Sus scrofa: one gene and its partners. The protein of the gene in region 3 purifies or fractionates together with the protein of the main gene of each other region. This does not show direct contact. Links are inferred from orthologs where the notes say so. Each region holds a gene or a part of one and is shown on either strand. Other genes may lie near its edges. The genes, in order: EXOC7, EXOC3, EXOC2, EXOC8 and EXOC6.

Region 1 (3,515 bases), on a different chromosome or scaffold from region 3:
GGGGAAATATAAAAACAGCACTGAAAACAGACATGCGCAGCTGCCCTGATAACCAGATGGGCCGGGGCCGGGAAGGCAGCCCTGAGTGGGATCTGGTCCCTTTTCCCTGGAGACGCCCAGGTCCTCCACCGCAGCTCTGAACACGGGGAGCCTGCTGGGGTCCTGGCAGCTCCCCAAAGGACTGAGGGAGAGGGGACGGCGTCTGGAGCGGCTGTTTGTGCCAACCACAATTAGTTACTCATGAGCCAGTGTGCGGCTCCAGCCCGGCACCTGTCTCGCTGTGTTCTCCTCCTTCAGCAAGTAGTCCTGCTAATGAGCGATTCAGATTCCCGCCCCACAACCAACTAGGACCAGATGGGCCCGCCGGGCCATCAGGAGCCTCGCCAGCACACTGGCATGTATGTGGGTCGGGGACGCTGATCTGGCAGCCGCTAAAGCCATCAGGCGCCCAGTTACCACGGATGTCGCTGAGGCTGGTGTCTCGTTACCCCCGAGGCCACCCTGCCCCTCTCCTCAAGAGCTGGGGGCCTGCCTCTAGCTCCCAACATCGGACCTGAGCCCCAAGGTTCCGGACAACCCTTGAAACCCCAAAGAAACCAGAGGGACGCTCACAGCCGGCGTTTTCCTTCTAGGGCTACAGGGCTGGGATGGATGAGGTCCACTGGGAGCCCAAAGATCAGATCTCTGGTCCCTGCATGGCCAGCAGCATCCTGCATGTGGCCTGGGTTCCAGGCCTCCAGGGGTCCCAGAGGAGACAGAGGGGAAGAAAGCACAGCCCGGCCGGGGCCCAGCAGCCTCGTGGAAACAGCCGCAGCCCAATGCACGAGGCACAGGCACGAACCAGGCCTCGAGCAGGCAGCTGCGGCTGCCCTGGCTGGCTTGTAGAGTCCCTGACCGTGGCAGGTTCTCCGAGGGAGCAGCCAGGAGAGCCAAGCTGGAGGGGAAGGCTGTGCACTTTCTGCTGGGCTGCCCGGCCTCTGGACCTCGACGCTGTGCCTCTGCGGGCAGCCTCTGCCATTTCTCTAAGCCCTGAACAAAGCGCTGGGGAGGAGCAGATGCTCGGGCCACTGTGAGCAGATCTCCTGCTCTCTGAGAGGCCGGGCAGCTCGGGAAAACACTGTCCCAAGGGACGGGTCCCAGAGCAGCTGGACGGGGTGGGCGAAAGTGGGAGCAGCCCCAGGGCTCGCTGGCTCTCTCTCCTGGTGCCTGCAGCCCCTCCGCTGGAACCCCCACCCCGGCCTCTCGAAGGCAACCCCTCTCAGCAGCCAGAACAGCCAGGCTTGTCAAGCCGAAGCTGACACACAGGGACACTGTCACCTGGAGCAGAGACTACAGGGGACAGGATGATGGGAAGAAGGACAGACAGTGAGCTGCTCGCCCAGGCCAACCAACAAGCCACAGCCCAGGCCTCTTCCACCTCAATGCCCCTCCCTCAACTCTCCCACCGCAAGGCACCAACTTCTTGCGGAGCCCAAAAGCCAGGTGAGGGTCTTTGGAGAGGATGGCCTGGGATGGTTTTCTTTCTGGACTGACTGTAAAAGCATAAACGTTCCTGTATCTACTTTTTTTTTGCCATGGCTGAGGCATGTGGAAATTCCCGGGCCAGGGATCGAACCTGCGCCACAATAGTAACCAGAGCCACAGCAGTGACAACACCAGATCCTTAACCCTTTGAGCCACCAGGGAACTCCTCTGCTCTCCACTTCTTAGCTACTCATCACTTCAGGCCACTCTGGCTTTCTGGGAGGTGAAGGCTGCAGTGCCTGCCCCTCGCCCTGCACCCCTGACACCCTGCCCCAATCTCACAGCTGGGTGGCAGCAGCATGCCTGGCCTCCCAACAGGACACTAGAGGGAGAGGACGGGGGCCCAATAAGTGGCTCTGCTCCGGCACCCCTGTCACCCCACGTCTCCGTGCTGTGACCCTCCACTCCAAGGACACTTATATAAGCCCTAGACTCGGCTGGGTGGAGAGAGGAGCTCTTTTGGGGGGCGGACACCTGCCTGCTGTCCTGTGCCCCTACAGTCAGGGGCTACCGTGAGGACAAACCCTAGGGCCCTGGCGCCGCCCACCCCGGGGTGGGTGGCCAAAGGCCACCCAGGTCCCACAGCCTTCTGGCGGGTTCTGAAGTGGGCCAGGGCGGGGGCTCACCTGGCCGCTTGACTGGCTTCTTGGTGGGTGTGTCTTTCCTCTTGTTGGGGATGGCGGGGGAGTAGGGAACCCCAGAGGAAGAACTGCTCTTCCGGAAGTGCTCCTTCAGGCCTTTGATGGAGCGGTCCAGCTGGCTCGAGCGGATCTGGTAGTAGACGTTCATGAAATCTGCGGACAGACGGGTGACAGCTGGGTCCCTGCCTCCGCCAGACCCCGGGGCCCCCCTCCCCCGCCAGAGGCAGCTCCAGAGGGCAGCAGCAGGCCCGCTCTTTCCACTTGCAGACCCTTTCCCAGCAGCCTCGTGGCCTCGTCCTGCATCTGGAAAAGCCTTAAAAGGGAAGACATTTCCCCGCAGAACCAATAATTCGTTGTAAGTTCTGAAGGTGAGGGGTTTTTTTTCTTTTAGAATTTTTTTTTATTATAGTTGATCTACAACGTTCTGTCAATTTCTGCTGGGCAGGTAAGTTTTTGAGATTTTAAGAAAATAGAAAATTAGCAGCCGGATTCAACTTGGTAATGTATTCTTTTTTATCTTGTTCAGCCACACCCACGGCACATGGAGGTTTCTGGGCCAGGGATCAAATCTGAGTTGCAGCTTCGAACTATGCCATCGCTGTGGCAACGCTGGGTCCTTAACCACTGCGCTTGCCGGGGATTGAACCTGCGCCACCACTGGATCCTTAATCTACTGTGCCACAGCGGGCACTCCTCGACTTGGTAAATTTATAGGTGGTAAAGAGACAACGAATGTCACTGAGTGAAAAAACACACCATCTCTTTAGCCATGAACGAAGTGCAAATTTAAAAAAACTAGAGGACCGTGGCAGCCCTGTTAAATAGCTAAGATAAGCAAAATTAATGAAGAAGAAATAACTGCAGGGTTGTCAACAGGTCAGCAGACTGGTCCCATCTACCTGGAGAGGAACTCGAGACGGCAAGAAGGTTACAGATCTGTTCAGACAGTTCTACCTGATAACTGTACCTTTGAGAAAATACCCCCAAAGAACTCCCTAAATAAGAAGAGCAATGGGGGTTCCCATCATGGCAAAGAGGAAAGGAATCTGACTAGGAACCATGAGGTTGCAGGTTCGATCCCCCCTGGCCTCGCTCAGAGGGTTAAGGATCCGGCATTGCCATCAGCTGTGGTGTAGGTCACAGATGTGGCTTGGATCCTGCGTTGCTGCAGCTGTGGGGTAGACTGGCAACTGTAGCTCTGATTCAACCCCTAGCCTGGGAACCTCCATATGCCATGGGCGCAGCCCTAAAGAAAACTGGACAATCCAAAAATGCAAACGAGCCTGGAGAAGTATGGATGCTGTGGTACATTTCAGCAGGTCCCAACAAGTGTATCCCAAGGAACCCCAT
Region 2 (4,094 bases), on a different chromosome or scaffold from region 3:
TGGTCACGGTTGGTGGACAGGCAGATTAAGCCTTGTTGGTGTGGAATCAGCATCTGGACACCAGCTCTGAGGGGTTTGTGTTCTAAAGGTACCATCATGCTTGGGACCCAGGTCCTGATGTGCCCTGGTCCCTTCCTCTGCTGGGTCGGTGGCAACAAAACTTCCCCCAGTCAGCACTTTTGTGATTTTACAGCCATGCCCCTATGGAAAAATTGTGTGGGGAAGGTGATGATGGAATGTAGAAGGTCAGATCTGGCCATTTCTGTAGGCGTGGCCATTTCTGCTTTAAAATGTCATTACCAGTACTAATTACCGGCTTATATGTTTCTATTGTCTGTAGCTTTTGGCTGTGTAGCTGAGAACATATTAAAATCAAGTATACAGGAATGATATGGAAGGGAAAAGACAAACACAAATTGTATTTTATATTTTTGCAGTTTCTACTGGATGAAAAAAACTTTCAATATGGAGACTGACTCGTTGAATTTTTAAAAATTGGATGCACTATAATGTAACTTTTTGTACTTTTTCTCAGTGCCTTTAGAAAGAGCTTTCAAATGCATTTCTGATACTGTGGTTCTTGTTAAATTCGCAATATGGATGTAAAATAAATGTTAGTATGTGTCTGCTTTAAGTGGAAATGTCTTCTTGATTTTGCAAATGAAGCCCCGCCATCAGATGTTCTAGCTTTGTCTCTGCGAAGTGGTAGTGAGCTGTTCTATGTGCATTTCCTTCCTTCAGTCCATCCCCTGCTGAATACCAGGCCCTGTGATAGTGCTTAAGACACATTAGGAAAAAAAGATGGAGAAATGCGGCTGTGCTGCCGCTGACACCCCTGTGCACGTGTACAGGGGACGGGGTGCAGATAAGTGACCCAAGAGCTGGGTAAATTCTGCAACGCCTCTGGAGGGAACATGGCGGCACAGATGGAACAGCTGGGGTCTTATAGCCAAGCGGCGATTTTGTGGGAAAGGCGGCCTCTGGGCCAAGACGGGGCAGGAGGTGGAGGAGGCCCAGGGACTGGAGGCCCCGCGAGGGCGGGGGCTGGGAGGTTTGGGTTTATAGGGCCACCGCACTGGGGGACTCATACACCTGCCCCCACGTGCCCCCTGCCCCCACGAGCCCAGGCGTGTGCATGTGTGTGCTTGTGCGCCCCGTGTGTGCGGTGTGGCCTGTCTATATGTGGTGTGTGTAGGGTGTCTGCGTGCCTGTGACGTCCGTGAGAGGCGTCTCCGCGCTGGGTGTATGCGCTCGCGCTCCGCCCCTCAGGCTTCAGCCCAGCCGCCCGGTTCCCGGCTCCGCGCTCGTCCCGCAGCCCCGGCCGACTCTCGGCGGGTGCCGGTCGACAGCGGGTCCCGGTCGACAGCGGGTCCCTATCGACAGCGGGTCCCGAAATCTCCCAGCTCTGTGCACAGGGACCCGCCCAACAAAGGTCCCGCCCGCCGGGCCCACCCCCTTCCGGTCACGAGGCCGGAAGCGGAAGTGCCGGTCGCGGCTCACTTCCGGGCGGCGGCGGCGGCGGCTCGCAAGGTGAGGCCGCTGCGGGCGGGTGGCACAGTCCGGGAGTCGCGGTCCGTGGCCGCTGTCCTCTCCCCGGGCTCGGGCGGGTGCGGGCGCGGCCGGAAGGCAGTGCGGGAGGCCGTGGGAGGCCCGGGGACGGTCCGTGGAGAGGCTGACGGCGCGCCAGGCGGTGGGGAGTAGCAGGTGCAGAGCTGCGGGCGCGGCTGGGGGTCCGCGGCGGAGACGGGCGGGGAGACACGCCGGCGCCCCCCAGCCCCGTGTGTCCCGTCGTGTGCGCGGTGCCCTAGTCAGCACCGGGAGGGGAGAGACGGCGCCACAGCACATTCCGAGAGAACACGGAACGCACTCGTGTGCAGACGGGGGAGTTATTTCACAGGTCCCTCAAGGGTCTCCGCGGACCTCGCGTTGCTTTGAGAAATATCTTTGAGAAGCCGTGCGCAGAAAATGTGCATGGAAATGGACTTCAGTAGCTGAAGTCAGTCCTCTGCTTTGCCGAAAGCTCAGCAGGCGTCGCCAGCTCCCTGGCTGGCAGGTTGGAGGAGCTGGCGCTGAAGGCAGGTGTGCTTGTATGCAGCATCTGTGCTGTGTACATTGCATCTGAGCAGAGTGCCTTGTGCCCTCTCACCTCTGTTTACTAGGGCTGTTAAGCAGTAGGGAATGGAATTTTGGGTGCTACAGACAGTGATTTTGAGGGGGATCAGAGGATGGTGCTCAAACTTGAGCAGGCACGGTAAAGTGTGTGCTGTCACTGTGCCTCCATAGCTTTCCTGAGGCGTCCTGGCACCTCGGCCCCACTGGCTAGTCAGGGCTGGTGGCAATTAGAAATTGGACCTGTCCGGGGGAGATTGACATCTGAGGTGCTGAGTAGTCTGGATCCGCATGTTAATATCTTATGCTTGTAATTGCCTCTGCGCCCCTTAGGGATAACACTGGGTTCTGAAGGTTTGTGTTTCATATCAAGGAGGTCATAATCCTAGCTCAGCTGTGTTTCATGTCTATTAGATTAATGATCTCAAATGCTCTCCTTATAGCTCCACTGTGAACAACTGAATGTTACTGGAGCAGGGGGATGCTTTGTACCTGACATCTCTACCTTCCTGACACATCCTCCTCTCCTGTTCTGTCTCTGCCTGTGGACACAGGGTATCCCTAGTATGACAGGTGCAGAGATTCTGCCTGCTCTGTAACCATGAAGGAGACGGACCGGGAGGCTGTTGCAACAGCTGTCCAGAGGGTTGCCGGGATGCTCCAGCGCCCGGACCAGCTGGACAAAGTGGAGCAGTACCGCAGAAGAGAGGCCAGGAAGAAGGCCTCCGTGGAAGCCAGGCTGAAGGTATGAGACTGGAGTGGAGACTGGGGTGGCTGTGGGCGCCTGCTTCACTCTCAGGCTGGACCGAGCCTTTTGTCCCAAGTTCAGGTTCCTGCTTAGCAGAATCATTGTAATTTTGCCGAGCTGGGCTTTGTGATGCCATGAAGAGAGGCAGGCCATGGACTTTGCCTTTGTTAGTGCATCCTTTCCAACAGTTCCTTGCCAGCCGGTAGGTTTATAGAGAAGACCGTGGGAAGATTTAAAAAGCCAGAGGAACAGTCTTTTAAGCACCCAGAAGTGTCCATTTAACTATTTAAAAAAACACTTATTTACTAAAAACTTTCCTTCAGACTGTGTCCAGAGGGCATTTCGTTTGGATCCTGCTAGCACACACAGCAGGAGGCTGACTGTGTGCCAGGCACTCTGCAGGCCCTGGGATGGGAAAGAGGAGAGCTGACCACATTTACTAGAGTGTGTGAGAGTGAGGCAAGAAAGAAAGGCGGCAGCCTTTTATGATTTAGATTGGCTTTCAGCTCATTTCATGTGGAGAGATGAGGTTCTTTTAAAATAATGCACATTTGGTACAGTTATAAAAAAGTTAAGAACCTGGCCTGTTATAGTTGCCTGGCAGCACAGCAGTCTTTGCGGATTTAAGAGAATGCCTTTGATACATGTACACAATGAAATATTACTCAGCCATTAAAAGTAAAGAAAGAATGGCATTTGTAGCAACGTGGTTGGACCAAGAAAATTATCATGCCAAGTGGAGTTAGACAGTGAGACACCAATGTCATATGCTGTCACATGTGGAATTGAAAAAAGGGCACAAGGAACTTCTTTGCATAACAGACACTAACTCACTTTGAAAAACTTTCGGTTTCCAAAGGAGACAGGTTGGGGGTGGGGGGATGGGCTGGGGGTTTGGGATAGAAATGCTGTAAAATTTGGTTGTGATGATTGTTGTACACCTACAAATGGAATAAAATTCATTGAGTTAAAAACACAAAGGGAGAGAATGGCTGTGAGGAAGGTGAATCTTCCCAGCGAGGCGGCAGTGAGGCCCCCTCCAGGTGAAAAGCATTGGTAGCGTCCAGATAATGGCGAGTGTGATGAGATGGAAGGGTGATCACTCATTTGCACCAGCAAAGCATTGAAAGACCTGTTAGGCTGGCTTGAAACAGTTTCATGTCAATTTTAAAAATAGTTTAGACCTGCTACTTTTTTGTGTGTGTGCTTTTTTTAGGGCCGTACCAGTGGTATGTGG
Region 3 (3,515 bases):
CATTGGTTTATACAGGACTCATTTCTGCCCAACCTCACTGCACACAGGACTTGAGCGCGGAGCGGAGCGTTTGTACGTTTTAGGCGAGAAGGCACACATCCTGGAGCTGTGCGAAGCCAGTTTCGTGTGTGTGTGTGTGTGTGTGTGTGTGTGTGTGTGTGCGCGCGCGCGCGCTCCAGCACCTGTGCACGTGCTCACGTGCTAAGCCAGGGCAGGGCTGTGGTTGCATGGACGGAATGGGACAGAGAAGCAGAGACGTGCTATCAGCTGGAAGCAGACGCTTTACCCCGAAAGGAGCCAGATCTGGGCTGATTCCTCAAGACCCGGGTTGGGCACCTTTCCGGCCTTTTCTTCGCTCCGCTAAAGGGCTGAGCTGCACCACTGGGAAGAGCGGGGCTCTCACCTCGAGAAGCTGTTCCCTCCAAAGAGGAGAGAGCTGAATTGGCGACCGTGAGCGAGGAGCTATGAGGGCAGGGGAGGAACGGGGTGGGGTGAGCGGGGGGATGGCGCTGAGAACGCGGCTGGAAACAGAGCAGACGACACAACCACTGTCCACCCGCACAGTCGGTTACCTGTGTGATCTTTTCTATGCCCTGGAAGTTGTGCTTTTCAAAGTGTTCTGCTATGTTTCGGAAGGTGTGCCGTTCTAGGTAGCAGCAGTTACTCAGGACTATCAGAAGTCGCTGTTCCTAAAACCAAGTTTTTAGAAAATTACATTTACAGTAACAAATTGCAAGTCTCAGAGATAACATTTATCCCCTAGCAAATTTAATTACAATCACTTGGTGTTTAATATCAATATTCAATGCTTTTTCTAAATTCTTTTAATAACAGAGAAACACAATACAATTCTATAATTCTACTATTGCTCGTTATGACAGAACACTAAAGAGTCAAATAACTTTTGACTCAAATCCCTTTTGGAATTTAATAGCTGTGTGGAAGAGATTGATGGGACACAGAAAAGCAGTCAAGCAGGATCAGCTGCTATTCTCAGGAAAAGGATTCTACTTTTCATCCTTTTTGCACCAAGAGTTATAAAAATGGCTGTTTAAAAATAATTACTAACAAGTTGTAAAACTCTTAGAAAGTAATTTCTAAGCTTCTCATAATGTGGAAGAGAACTGGGATGTCATCAAAGAGGGGCTGTGCAGAGCCTCCTTCCCACGGGAGTCGGGGGACAGGGGCCCGGGGGCCCTCCCAAGGCAGCTGGGTGGGAGGGGGCACCCCACACTCCCCGGGAAGCTAGCTGTGCAGGGTAACTTCTTATCAGAATGACAGAGCCCCGGCTGATGGTAAAACACCCTGTGACAGTTCCCAGAGTGGCGCTGCCGTTGCTTGGGGCTCAGCAAGCACTGCCCCTGCTTCCTCAGGTGAGAGGGCTTCTCCGAAAGGACTGTGACTAATTCGGGCCTTGATTTAGACCCTTGATAAAATGAGGGCAAAACTCCTTTCCAGGAGAAGCTCTCCCCACGCCGTGCTGGCTGCTGGTTGCCAGTCAGGTGCTGTAGGTTAAGGGAGGAGGACAGAGGGAATAACCAGGCCCTGGCAGGTGCACAGACCACAGGGGCGACGCTCACTGAGCCCACACCAGCCAGAATCCCGTTCAGTCCCTTCAAAACGTGTGAAACTTTTTGTCTTTAAAGTTTATTTAAAACTTTATTTTTTATTTATTTCTGGCAGAGTGTGCCCCTTTTGCTGTCTTTTGTGGTCCTCAACAAAAATAATGAAAAAGCCCCAGAACTGCTGAAGTGCATTCAAAGCAATGGAAGGCCGTCTGAGGCCTGAGTGACCGGGGACGGGAAGGGGAGCCTAACGAGGTACAAGCAGGCGGTACGTCCACCCTCCACCAGGCTCTATGTTCACACTGCAGGGAGGGGCACCAGGAGGTGACAGGCGGGGGCCGGGGGAGGCCAGACCTCCTGCCCATGCCTGGTGGTGCCATTGCGTGGTCCTTGCAAAGGACATGGAGCCAAGTCCTTGTGACATGCCATCAGCCCAGAGCACGCCGCCTCGCCATGCTCTCCCGCGGTCCCAGTTTGCAACCCGTCTTAATGGCTCTCCCTCTGGAGCCTGCCCCTGAGCACCGGCCTCCTCCAGAGGCCAGGCCCGGCCTGCCACGCCTGCTGTGCCCCGTCCGTTTGTTAACTCGGGTTGATGGTTACCCTTACGATCTGAACGGTTCTTCTAAAATGGAAAATCTATTTGAGTGATTTCAAGTTTTACTCTTCGTAAGTGCATTTTTTTTTTCTCAAACAGAAGAAACAACCACGGGAAGAAAAACTAAACATACAAATAATCAAATTCTAAAATTAAATGATTCATCAGAAGCTTATGAACAACTTAAATAAACACGTCTGAAAATAACAACGCAACCTGTCCGAGCAGCACCTGCAGCCTGAGGACCACAGTTACTGCAGCCTCTGCGATGCAGGCTCTTCAGCACGCAGCAGGCCAGGAAGCGAACCAGAAACCTTTCTTCCCACAGCTGCCTCTGCTGGATGCCAGAACAGGTCCCTGCGGAGACCTTGGTCACCTGGGCCAAATCCAACGAGCCAGCCACGCGACAGGGAAAAACAGAGGGGCTGCATTCAGAACCTACTTACAGGCGTCAAACTGAGCTCTTGATGGATACTTCCAAACAAATCCGGAGAAGCAACGTCAACGGAGAGGCTGAATAAAGAGACAAGAGAAGAATGAGTGTGGAAGCACTAAAGCAAACAGCGCGAACAGAATGTCATAGGTGGATTACATGCACCGCAACAAAAAAAGACTTCGAAGTCTTTCAGTCAAACGTCAAACGTCGCATAGTTGTCTGTGTTTCTGAGCACGGACACCGGGACCCTCTTACCATGGTTCCTGCCACATGAGCTTCAGGGTCTTCCGAATCCCTAGCAGCGGGGGTTCCGAGCACAGACTCTCCAGCCAAAACGTGCTCGCCCATCAGAATCTAGACATTCTGGGGTGTTCTGAGCTCACGTGCATAGAAATGACTAACAGGTGAGCTGAGTTAGGAACGTCCCTAACAACCCGCAGGCGACCAGACACCTGACGTGGTAGAGGGACGACACCAAGGGCCACGGCTTAGTTGACAGACGCAGCAGGACTCGAACAGGATGTCTTTTCTTTAAGCCTAACCAACCGATTTTAGCATCATAAGGAAAACTAAACAGATGGAAATATCAAACAACATTTAAAAACAGAGAAGCGGGAGTTCCCGTCGTGGCTCAGTGGTTAACAAATCTGACCAGGAACCATGAGGTTGCGGGTTCGATCCCTGGCCTCGTTCGGTGGGTTACGGATCCGGCATTGCCGTGAGCTGTGGTGTAGGGCGCTGATGTGGCTCAGATCCCGAGTTCCTGTGGCTGTGGTGTAGGCTGGCGGCTACAGGTCCGATTGGACCCCTAGCTTGGGACCAACCCTCCATATGTCATCGGTGCGGCCCTAAAAAGACCAAAAAAAAAAAAAAAAAAAAAAGAGAAACAATAAAAGGATAACAATCCAATAACCATTTA
Region 4 (4,199 bases), on a different chromosome or scaffold from region 3:
ATCCCATCCTGCTGCTGCCTGTCCTCTCCCTAAAAGGTGTAATCAACCAGTCTGTGGTGGAAAGGGCCAGATCTCCACTAGTGTTCCTCCGAAATTATAATTATATATGAAGGAGAACTGTGCTTTCAACGCAACTTCATATCATATCTTAACTCCTTATTCTAGGTGGTTTTGTATCAATTCAAAAACTAGCAGGTAGTGTTCAGCTACACCTTAAACTTGTTAACTCCGTTGGTGTACAGGAGTCGTTTATTTCAAAAGGGGTTTTCTCCAACTCAGCGGGTAAGAAAAGGGTCCTTTCACAGGGCTCCCGGAAGACCCCCGCGTCCCAAAGTTATGGAAACATAGACCCCTTCCCAAGCTGACACACGGCTCACTGCAAGGCAGCGGCGCCGTAAAGACCACAGCTGAGGACAGCACACTTCCCGGCGCCCTCAGCATCTTTAGGGGCCGATTCTGGCTGTTTCTCCCTCCTGGGTCCTAGATCAGAAAGGGGAAAGGGGTGAACTCATTTTCCTGGAAACTGAGAAACATCCTTCTCTCTCACTGTGTTCCTTACCGGTCAGATCGCCGCGGGGTGGGCCACACGGCTTTCTGAGAGCTAACCAAGGGCAGTGAGAGAGGAAGGAAGGGAAGGGAGAGGAAGCCCGAGAACGGCTGGCTGTCCCTAGACCCGACCCGGGTCACTGCCCCGGCGCCGGGGCAGCGGAAGGGCCGCCAGCTGTCCGGTCCCGGCGGGCTCGGCACTCACAGCGTCATCCGCACGCTCCACTTCACTTCCACCGCCTCCAGTTTGCCCCAGAAGAAACGATCGTTGAACTGCACAAACAGGGCCTGCAAATCCGGCGTGGGGTCCACCAACTCCCAGGACGCGTCCACCAGCGACAGGGGCTCCTGGGCCGGATTGCGCTCCGAGACCTGCAAGTTCCACTCTTCCTGAAGCCGAAGAGCCAGAACCAGGTCCTCATCCATGGCTGCCCGGCTACCAGGCGGAGTCCAGATGGCTCAGAGAGCCTAGCCGTGCTCCTAGGAGATACCAGCTCCCAGGCCACTCTCGGGTCAGGCCACAGATCTCGCGAGACCTAGTAAACTCCGGCTCGAGAAAGAGAACCGAGCGTGCCCCGAACTCCAGTCAAGATTCTAGGGCTTAAAACAACAAAGAAAATTCAGCATGACACCTCCTAGTGGGCTCAACACTTGGGTTCCCGAAGCTTGAGCCCGAGGAAGGTTTCAAGTAGCCGGATACCGCCTTTACGGTTCGCGGGTACGGTCAAACATCAACGTCATGCTCGGCCCATGCGCAGTATCTACACCTCGCTGCTCCGCCCTCCACTCGCTTCCGCAGGAGCTTCTCCGGCGCATGCGCCCTAGGCCACTGGCGACCCTGCGCCGGCGCGCTGTTTGCGAGGGGCATCTTGCGCAGGCGCAGTGTCCGGACTTCAGACCCGGGCGCAGGCGTACTCGCCTGTCTTCCATCCTGCTTCCTCAGCCCTGGACTCGGCCGGGTTGGGTGGGCCTCGACAGTGGCGGCGGCGGCAGCGGCGGCGGTAGTAATAGTGACAGTGACTACGTGAGTCCCCGACGGAAATGGCGATGGCGATGTCAGACAGTGGGGCGAGCCGCCTGCGGCGGCAGCTGGAGTCGGGCAGCTTCGAGGCGCGGCTGTACGTGAAGCAGCTCTCGCAGCAGTCGGACGGGGACCGGGACCTGCAGGAGCACCGGCAGCGCATCCAGGCGCTGGCGGAGGAGACGGCGCAGAACCTGAAGCGTAACGTCTACCAGAACTACCGGCAGTTCATAGAGACGGCCCGCGAGATCTCCTACCTGGAGAGCGAGATGTACCAGCTTAGCCATCTGCTGACCGAGCAGAAGAGCAACCTGGAGAGCATCCCGCTCACCCTGCTGCCGGCCGCCGCCGCAGCCGCTGCTGGGGCCGCCACCGCCTCCGGAGGGGAGGAGGGTGGAGGCAGCGCGGGGGGCCGCGATCACCTCCGGGGCCAGGCTGGCTTTTTCCCAAGTCCCGGGGGCGCCTCCCGCGACAGTTCTGGTCCGGGCGAGGAAGGGAAGCAGCGCACTCTTACCACTCTGCTGGAGAAGGTGGAAGGCTGCAGGCACCTGCTGGAGACGCCGGGACAGTACCTGGTGTACAACGGGGACCTGGTGGAATACGAGGCGGATCATATGGCCCAGTTGCAGCGAGTGCACGGCTTTCTCATGAACGACTGTTTGCTGGTGGCCACCTGGTTGCCACAGCGGCGGGGGATGTATCGCTACGACGCCCTCTATCCCCTGGATGGTTTGGCCGTAGTCAATGTCAAGGACAATCCCCCCATGAAGGACATGTTCAAGTTGCTAATGTTTCCCGAGAGTCGTATTTTTCAGGCGGAAAATGCAAAAATCAAACGCGAGTGGCTGGAAGTGTTGGAGGAAACCAAGAGGGCCCTCAGTGAGAAAAGACGCAGGGAGCAGGAGGAGGCAGCGGCCCCTCGAGGGCCACCCCAAGTGACTTCCAAGGCCAGCAACCCGTTTGAAGATGAAGACGACGACGAACCAGCTGTTCCTGAGGCGGAAGAAGAGAAGGTGGACCTCTCAATGGAATGGATCCAGGAATTGCCCGAAGACCTGGATGTTTGCATCGCCCAGAGGGACTTTGAAGGGGCCGTTGACCTGCTGGATAAGTTGAACCAGTACCTGGAAGATAAGCCCAGTCCACCTGCTGTAAAAGAACTGAGGGCCAGAGTGGATGAGCGTGTCCGCCAGCTCACCGAGGTGCTGGTTTTTGAACTCTCCCCGGATCGGTCCCTGAGAGGCGGTCCCAAGGCTACGCGTCGGGCCGTTTCTCAACTAATCCGGCTTGGCCAGTGCACTAAGGCTTGCGAGCTGTTCTTGAGAAACAGGGCAGCAGCTGTGCATACCGCAATCCGCCAGCTTCGCATCGAGGGTGCCACCTTACTCTATATTCACAAGCTCTGCCACGTCTTCTTCACCAGCCTTCTCGAGACGGCCAGGGAGTTTGAGGCGGACTTCGCAGGCACCGACGGGGGCTGCTACTCGGCCTTCGTGGTCTGGGCGAGGTCAGCCCTGGGCACGTTTGCGGCTGCCTTTAGCAAACAGGTGTTCGACAGTAAGGAGAGCCTCTCCACTGCAGCTGAGTGTGTGAAGGTGGCCAAGGAGCATTGTCAGCAGCTGGGTGACATCGGGCTAGACCTCACCTTCATCATCCACACCCTCCTGGTGAAAGACATCCAGGGGGCCTTGCACAGCTACAAGGAAATCATCATCGAAGCCACTAAGCATCGCAACTCAGAGGAGATGTGGAGGAGGATGAACTTGATGACTCCAGAGGCCCTGGGTAAACTCAAAGAGGAGATGAAGAGCTGTGGGGTGAGGAACTTTGAGCAGTACACGGGGGATGACTGCTGGGTGAACCTGAGTTACACGGTGGTGGCTTTCACCAAACAGACCATGGGCTTCTTGGAAGAGGCGCTGAAGCTGTATTTCCCGGAGCTGCACATGGTGCTGTTGGAGAGCCTGGTGGAAATCATTTTGGTTGCTGTTCAGCATGTGGATTACAGTCTTCGGTGTGAGCAGGATCCAGAGAAGAAGAATTTTATCAGACAGAATGCATCCTTTCTGTACGAAACAGTCCTGCCTGTGGTGGAGAAAAGGTTTGAGGAAGGTGTGGGGAAACCCGCCAAGCAACTTCAGGACCTGAGAAATGCATCGAGACTGATTCGTGTGAATCCCGAAAGTACAACGTCAGTGGTCTGACACCTGGACCTGTTTATGTGTATACGTATATATGGCTTATATATATTATTTATATTTATATTAAGTTGCATTAGCGTATTCTTTATAGTCTCAAACACAGCCTAAAAATAAAAGATGCCTTCTCAGAAATGCGAAAATCAAAAGGAGATTGAAAAACATGTTAAACCCACGTAACAAAAACATTGAATTAGTAGAACATACAATATGCTTTCCTTTTAAATTATGCTAACTCTCTAATGACTATATATCGTCACACCAGAGCATTTCAACTTGTGTTTTGAAAGTTTCCCAGTTCACTAGGTTTCTTAAAGGGCACAGTGCCATTCCTGCCTCGTGTACTTCTGCACCTTAAAATGTGGTTGAACAATTTGGGGAAAAGAAAGGAGGAGTTGAGAAAACTGGTTTCAGGGTAAATTTTGGTCAACAGA
Region 5 (3,211 bases), on a different chromosome or scaffold from region 3:
TCTCAGGGTTATAGTCGCTACAGCGCGCAACTCGAAGTTGGGGGTGGGGGAGAGTGCAGGGTGCTTGTTTTACTGAAAAGAGTAAAGTGAACTCCTCAAATCCATCACTGCTGAGGACCCACAGTGGTCTGCCGCAGGCAGTGCAAAGACAGCATGTCTCTCTCTCCGAATCGAGGATGCCTCAGCCCAAGCTGGAGACGTTCTGAGTGCCCTGGAGGGCTGGGTAAGGCACCCAAGGGACACCACATTCCAGTCCTCAGAGAGAGCTAGCTTTGAGGTGAACTAGCTGTTCACCCATTCTGCTTCTCTTGTAACTTCCAGATTGTATTGTTACCATGTTTTCTATGTAACGTTTTTTAAAATGTTAAATACTTTTGAATAAGAGCTGGCCAAGGGAATATATGATTGTTTTCTTTGCTTTGATGACACTTTCCAATTACCAGAGAATAATAGCCTTTCTGAAGGAAGCAGTTATTTTAAGTGGCTCTAAATAGATACAATAGTAATGAATTTTCAACTTGCTCAACCTTTTTAATATTTCATCACAAAATCAAAAAACATACATGTAATTCTTTACACTTATTTTTACAGAGTCAAACATAAGTTTCTTACAGGCATAAATCCTGAAAATGCAAAAGGACCATTCAGCATAAATACAATGAAGAGAAAGTAAGGATCAGGCTGACATTGCCATTTGGACCGTAGTACTTTACACAGAGTAAATGTACATTCGTTTTGGGTTTTCCAGAGTTCATTCGGTTTGGTTTGTTTCCACAGTAAGGATACAGTACTCAGAGCTGCTCTTTGAAGAAGGTAACCTGACCCCTGTGGTGACTTCTGTGTGTAGGAACACTTCTATCCTAGCACAAGCTGCATCTGAGGTGGTTAGCCGTTTAGTTTCTGTCCTTCTAACTTGAACCAAACCAAACTAAATAAATAGGGTCAGCCACAAACAATATAGTTAGAAATATTAATCCTGCTGAACAGAAACAACATTGCCTCTGTAGAAAATCCAAACACCTTTTCTTCATAGCTTCAGATTAAATTAAACCACCTCAGTAGAACAAATAATTCACATTCTTATTGGGTTAAATCAAGTTTGATTTCAGTGGCCTTTAAAGATTTGTCTATTCCTTCCTCAGAATCAGCAGAATTGGAAAACTTAGTCTACTTAAATCACACTAAGGTAAAAATTCAAGCTAAAAGGTCAGAAAATGAAATATCAGACATAATTGCATTCCAAAACCAGATACTGAGGGAAAAAAAAAAACCCAGAAAAAATCATTTACGTCTAAATAGAAAAAGAATACTTATATGTAGAGACGTAAGTTTTTCTAATATATTTACAATCAGTTTCATATACATTTTGACCTTATTTATATATTACAGTCTTGCCTTTTTTCCCTAAAAGTGAAAAAAATTAATGTCACATTTTCCATATATAAAATAGTATTCAATTATTTAAAAATCCATACAAATGATATTTATAATTGTTTCTTGTTTAAGCTCTCATCAGTGTCTTTTCTCTAATGTATTTTCGAATTCTTCAAACAACTTTCTGTATCATGAGCAGTGCCTGTCAGAGATCAATGATGAGTCACGGATTTGGTGTCACTGAGTGCAAGCGATGTGAAGTCTATGAGTGCTGGGACATACCATTCACCAAACTTCTCAGCTGTTTCACGACTGTCTCTATCAACTTCTGTTTGTCTCGATCATTCTTTCTGAATTGAGCAAATATATTGTTCTTTTTGCTAGTATCCTTCATCCTAGGAATATATGTGAATTATTATGAAATGTTTATTAGTAAAAGGAAATTAAAAGTTGCACTGTCACAAGTAAAATATCTCGGTGTGCTCTGGATTAGCTCACCCTAATCCTATGCTTGAAAAATATACTTCAAAGAAAATAGGTACTACTAATAGAATTACAGAGATAGCAACCACACAGATTATTAGCAGCTTTATTTTGCATTCTATATGAAGTCCTCTTTTTGCATTAGTATGCAAATATAAAGCATGTTAAGTTTTCTCATACCATTCATAAAGTATGCTAAAACATATACCCTCTAGACTTTGCGTATCACTCAGAGCAAGACAGGGTGAAAGCAAAAGTAACACTAGAAAATTTAAAGCAGCAAATTTTTTGCCTCAGTTGTGTTTTATGGCACTGTAAAACAAGTTTACATTTATTTAAAATAGGTATTTGTTTTCTCTCAAATCAAATACACCACAGATATTCTGAAATGTGGGAAAATTGAAAATTGTAATAGTGATATTTAAAGTGAAAAATGATTAAAAAAATGAAATGAAATAGGCTAAAGTGAAAAGAAAACCTGCCACATAATGAGAAGGAAAAGTAGTACCTACAGTTGTGTTATTACTAACTGGAAAGGGCGCGCTGGTTAATTCAGTTTTTATAATATTATTTTTTCAAAACTCATACTTCTCTACCTGTAAAGAATCCAAGCCCATCATGGTAGGATTTAGACAGCACTGGTGGCAAACATTCCAATCCCTGGCTATGTTTTACAAAATACCTTCTTTCCTGTGTTACAGTATTTTTAAAAAATAGTTCCAATTCTCACTTACCTCCAGTAAACGTATTTCTAAAGCCAATTAAGCCAGGTATTGAGGGTACAATAGGAAAAATGTTTTGTTCATATCAACGTAAACAGCAATCTCATATAAAATTACACTGACATTGAAGGCGAGTAAGACAGAGGCTTAAGTTTTGGTCATTGAAAAGAACTGAACTTGGAAGCTCATGGAGACATTTTTCTTTTGATAAAAATCCCTAGTTCTTCAAGTATCACTGAATCGCAAAATGCTTAAATGGTATGCAAAGAAAACTGCAGAATATACTCACTTCTCTAGAAGAGTAAGGGCTGTGTTTGGATTCACCCGAAGGTACTTGGAAGCTGGCTGACCATAATCAGCTAGATAAGTAGACCAGTCCCAAACCATAAACAGATCAAGGAGCTGAGGAAGATGTGGAAACACGTTAAACCAATTTTTGGCTATTTATCTACAGATAATATAAAGTATATGCTGCTCTTGATCCATTTTAATGTGACCTGCTTCTCAGATGGAACATAATAAGGAAATTCATTCTTAAAAACTGCATTAACTACATTTTATAACCAACATAGTGTATAATATCTTTTCACTTTTGAAATTACTAAAATTGTCAGAGGTTGCTTTTCTAATAA

What was found.
Region 1: the proteins of EXOC2 (region 3) and EXOC7 fractionate together in Homo sapiens (co-fractionation; 4 studies listed by BioGRID, with this or other methods). This does not show direct contact. The link is inferred for Sus scrofa from reciprocal best matches to the Homo sapiens genes EXOC2 and EXOC7.
Region 2: the proteins of EXOC2 (region 3) and EXOC3 purify together in Homo sapiens (affinity purification with mass spectrometry; 6 studies listed by BioGRID and IntAct, counting the BioPlex papers as one, with this or other methods). This does not show direct contact. The link is inferred for Sus scrofa from reciprocal best matches to the Homo sapiens genes EXOC2 and EXOC3.
Region 4: the proteins of EXOC2 (region 3) and EXOC8 purify together in Homo sapiens (affinity purification with mass spectrometry; 7 studies listed by BioGRID and IntAct, counting the BioPlex papers as one, with this or other methods). This does not show direct contact. The link is inferred for Sus scrofa from reciprocal best matches to the Homo sapiens genes EXOC2 and EXOC8.
Region 5: the proteins of EXOC2 (region 3) and EXOC6 purify together in Homo sapiens (affinity purification with mass spectrometry; 5 studies listed by BioGRID and IntAct, counting the BioPlex papers as one, with this or other methods). This does not show direct contact. The link is inferred for Sus scrofa from reciprocal best matches to the Homo sapiens genes EXOC2 and EXOC6.

What each region holds. Positions count from the first base shown.
Region 1 is NC_010454.4:5,341,491-5,345,005, reverse strand, and holds part of EXOC7 (exocyst complex component 7), read right to left. Parts: intron 2,319-3,515; coding exon 2,151-2,318; intron 1-2,150. UniProt on the Homo sapiens protein: Component of the exocyst complex involved in the docking of exocytic vesicles with fusion sites on the plasma membrane.
Region 2 is NC_010458.4:79,727,460-79,731,553, reverse strand, and holds the start of EXOC3 (exocyst complex component 3), read left to right. Parts: upstream 1-1,281; 5' UTR 1,282-1,530; exon of another isoform or gene 1,531-1,704; intron 1,705-2,663; 5' UTR 2,664-2,710; coding exon 2,711-2,854; intron 2,855-4,094. UniProt on the Homo sapiens protein: Component of the exocyst complex involved in the docking of exocytic vesicles with fusion sites on the plasma membrane.
Region 3 is NC_010449.5:240,447-243,961, forward strand, and holds part of EXOC2 (exocyst complex component 2), read right to left. Parts: intron 2,674-3,515; coding exon 2,607-2,673; intron 690-2,606; coding exon 573-689; intron 1-572. UniProt on the Homo sapiens protein: Component of the exocyst complex involved in the docking of exocytic vesicles with fusion sites on the plasma membrane.
Region 4 is NC_010456.5:59,190,960-59,195,158, forward strand, and holds the start of EXOC8 (exocyst complex component 8), read left to right. Parts: upstream 1-1,385; 5' UTR 1,386-1,587; coding exon 1,588-3,771; 3' UTR 3,772-4,199. UniProt on the Homo sapiens protein: Component of the exocyst complex involved in the docking of exocytic vesicles with fusion sites on the plasma membrane.
Region 5 is NC_010456.5:104,546,934-104,550,144, reverse strand, and holds the end of EXOC6 (exocyst complex component 6), read right to left. Parts: intron 2,982-3,211; coding exon 2,869-2,981; intron 1,770-2,868; coding exon 1,637-1,769; 3' UTR 507-1,636; downstream 1-506. UniProt on the Homo sapiens protein: Component of the exocyst complex involved in the docking of exocytic vesicles with fusion sites on the plasma membrane.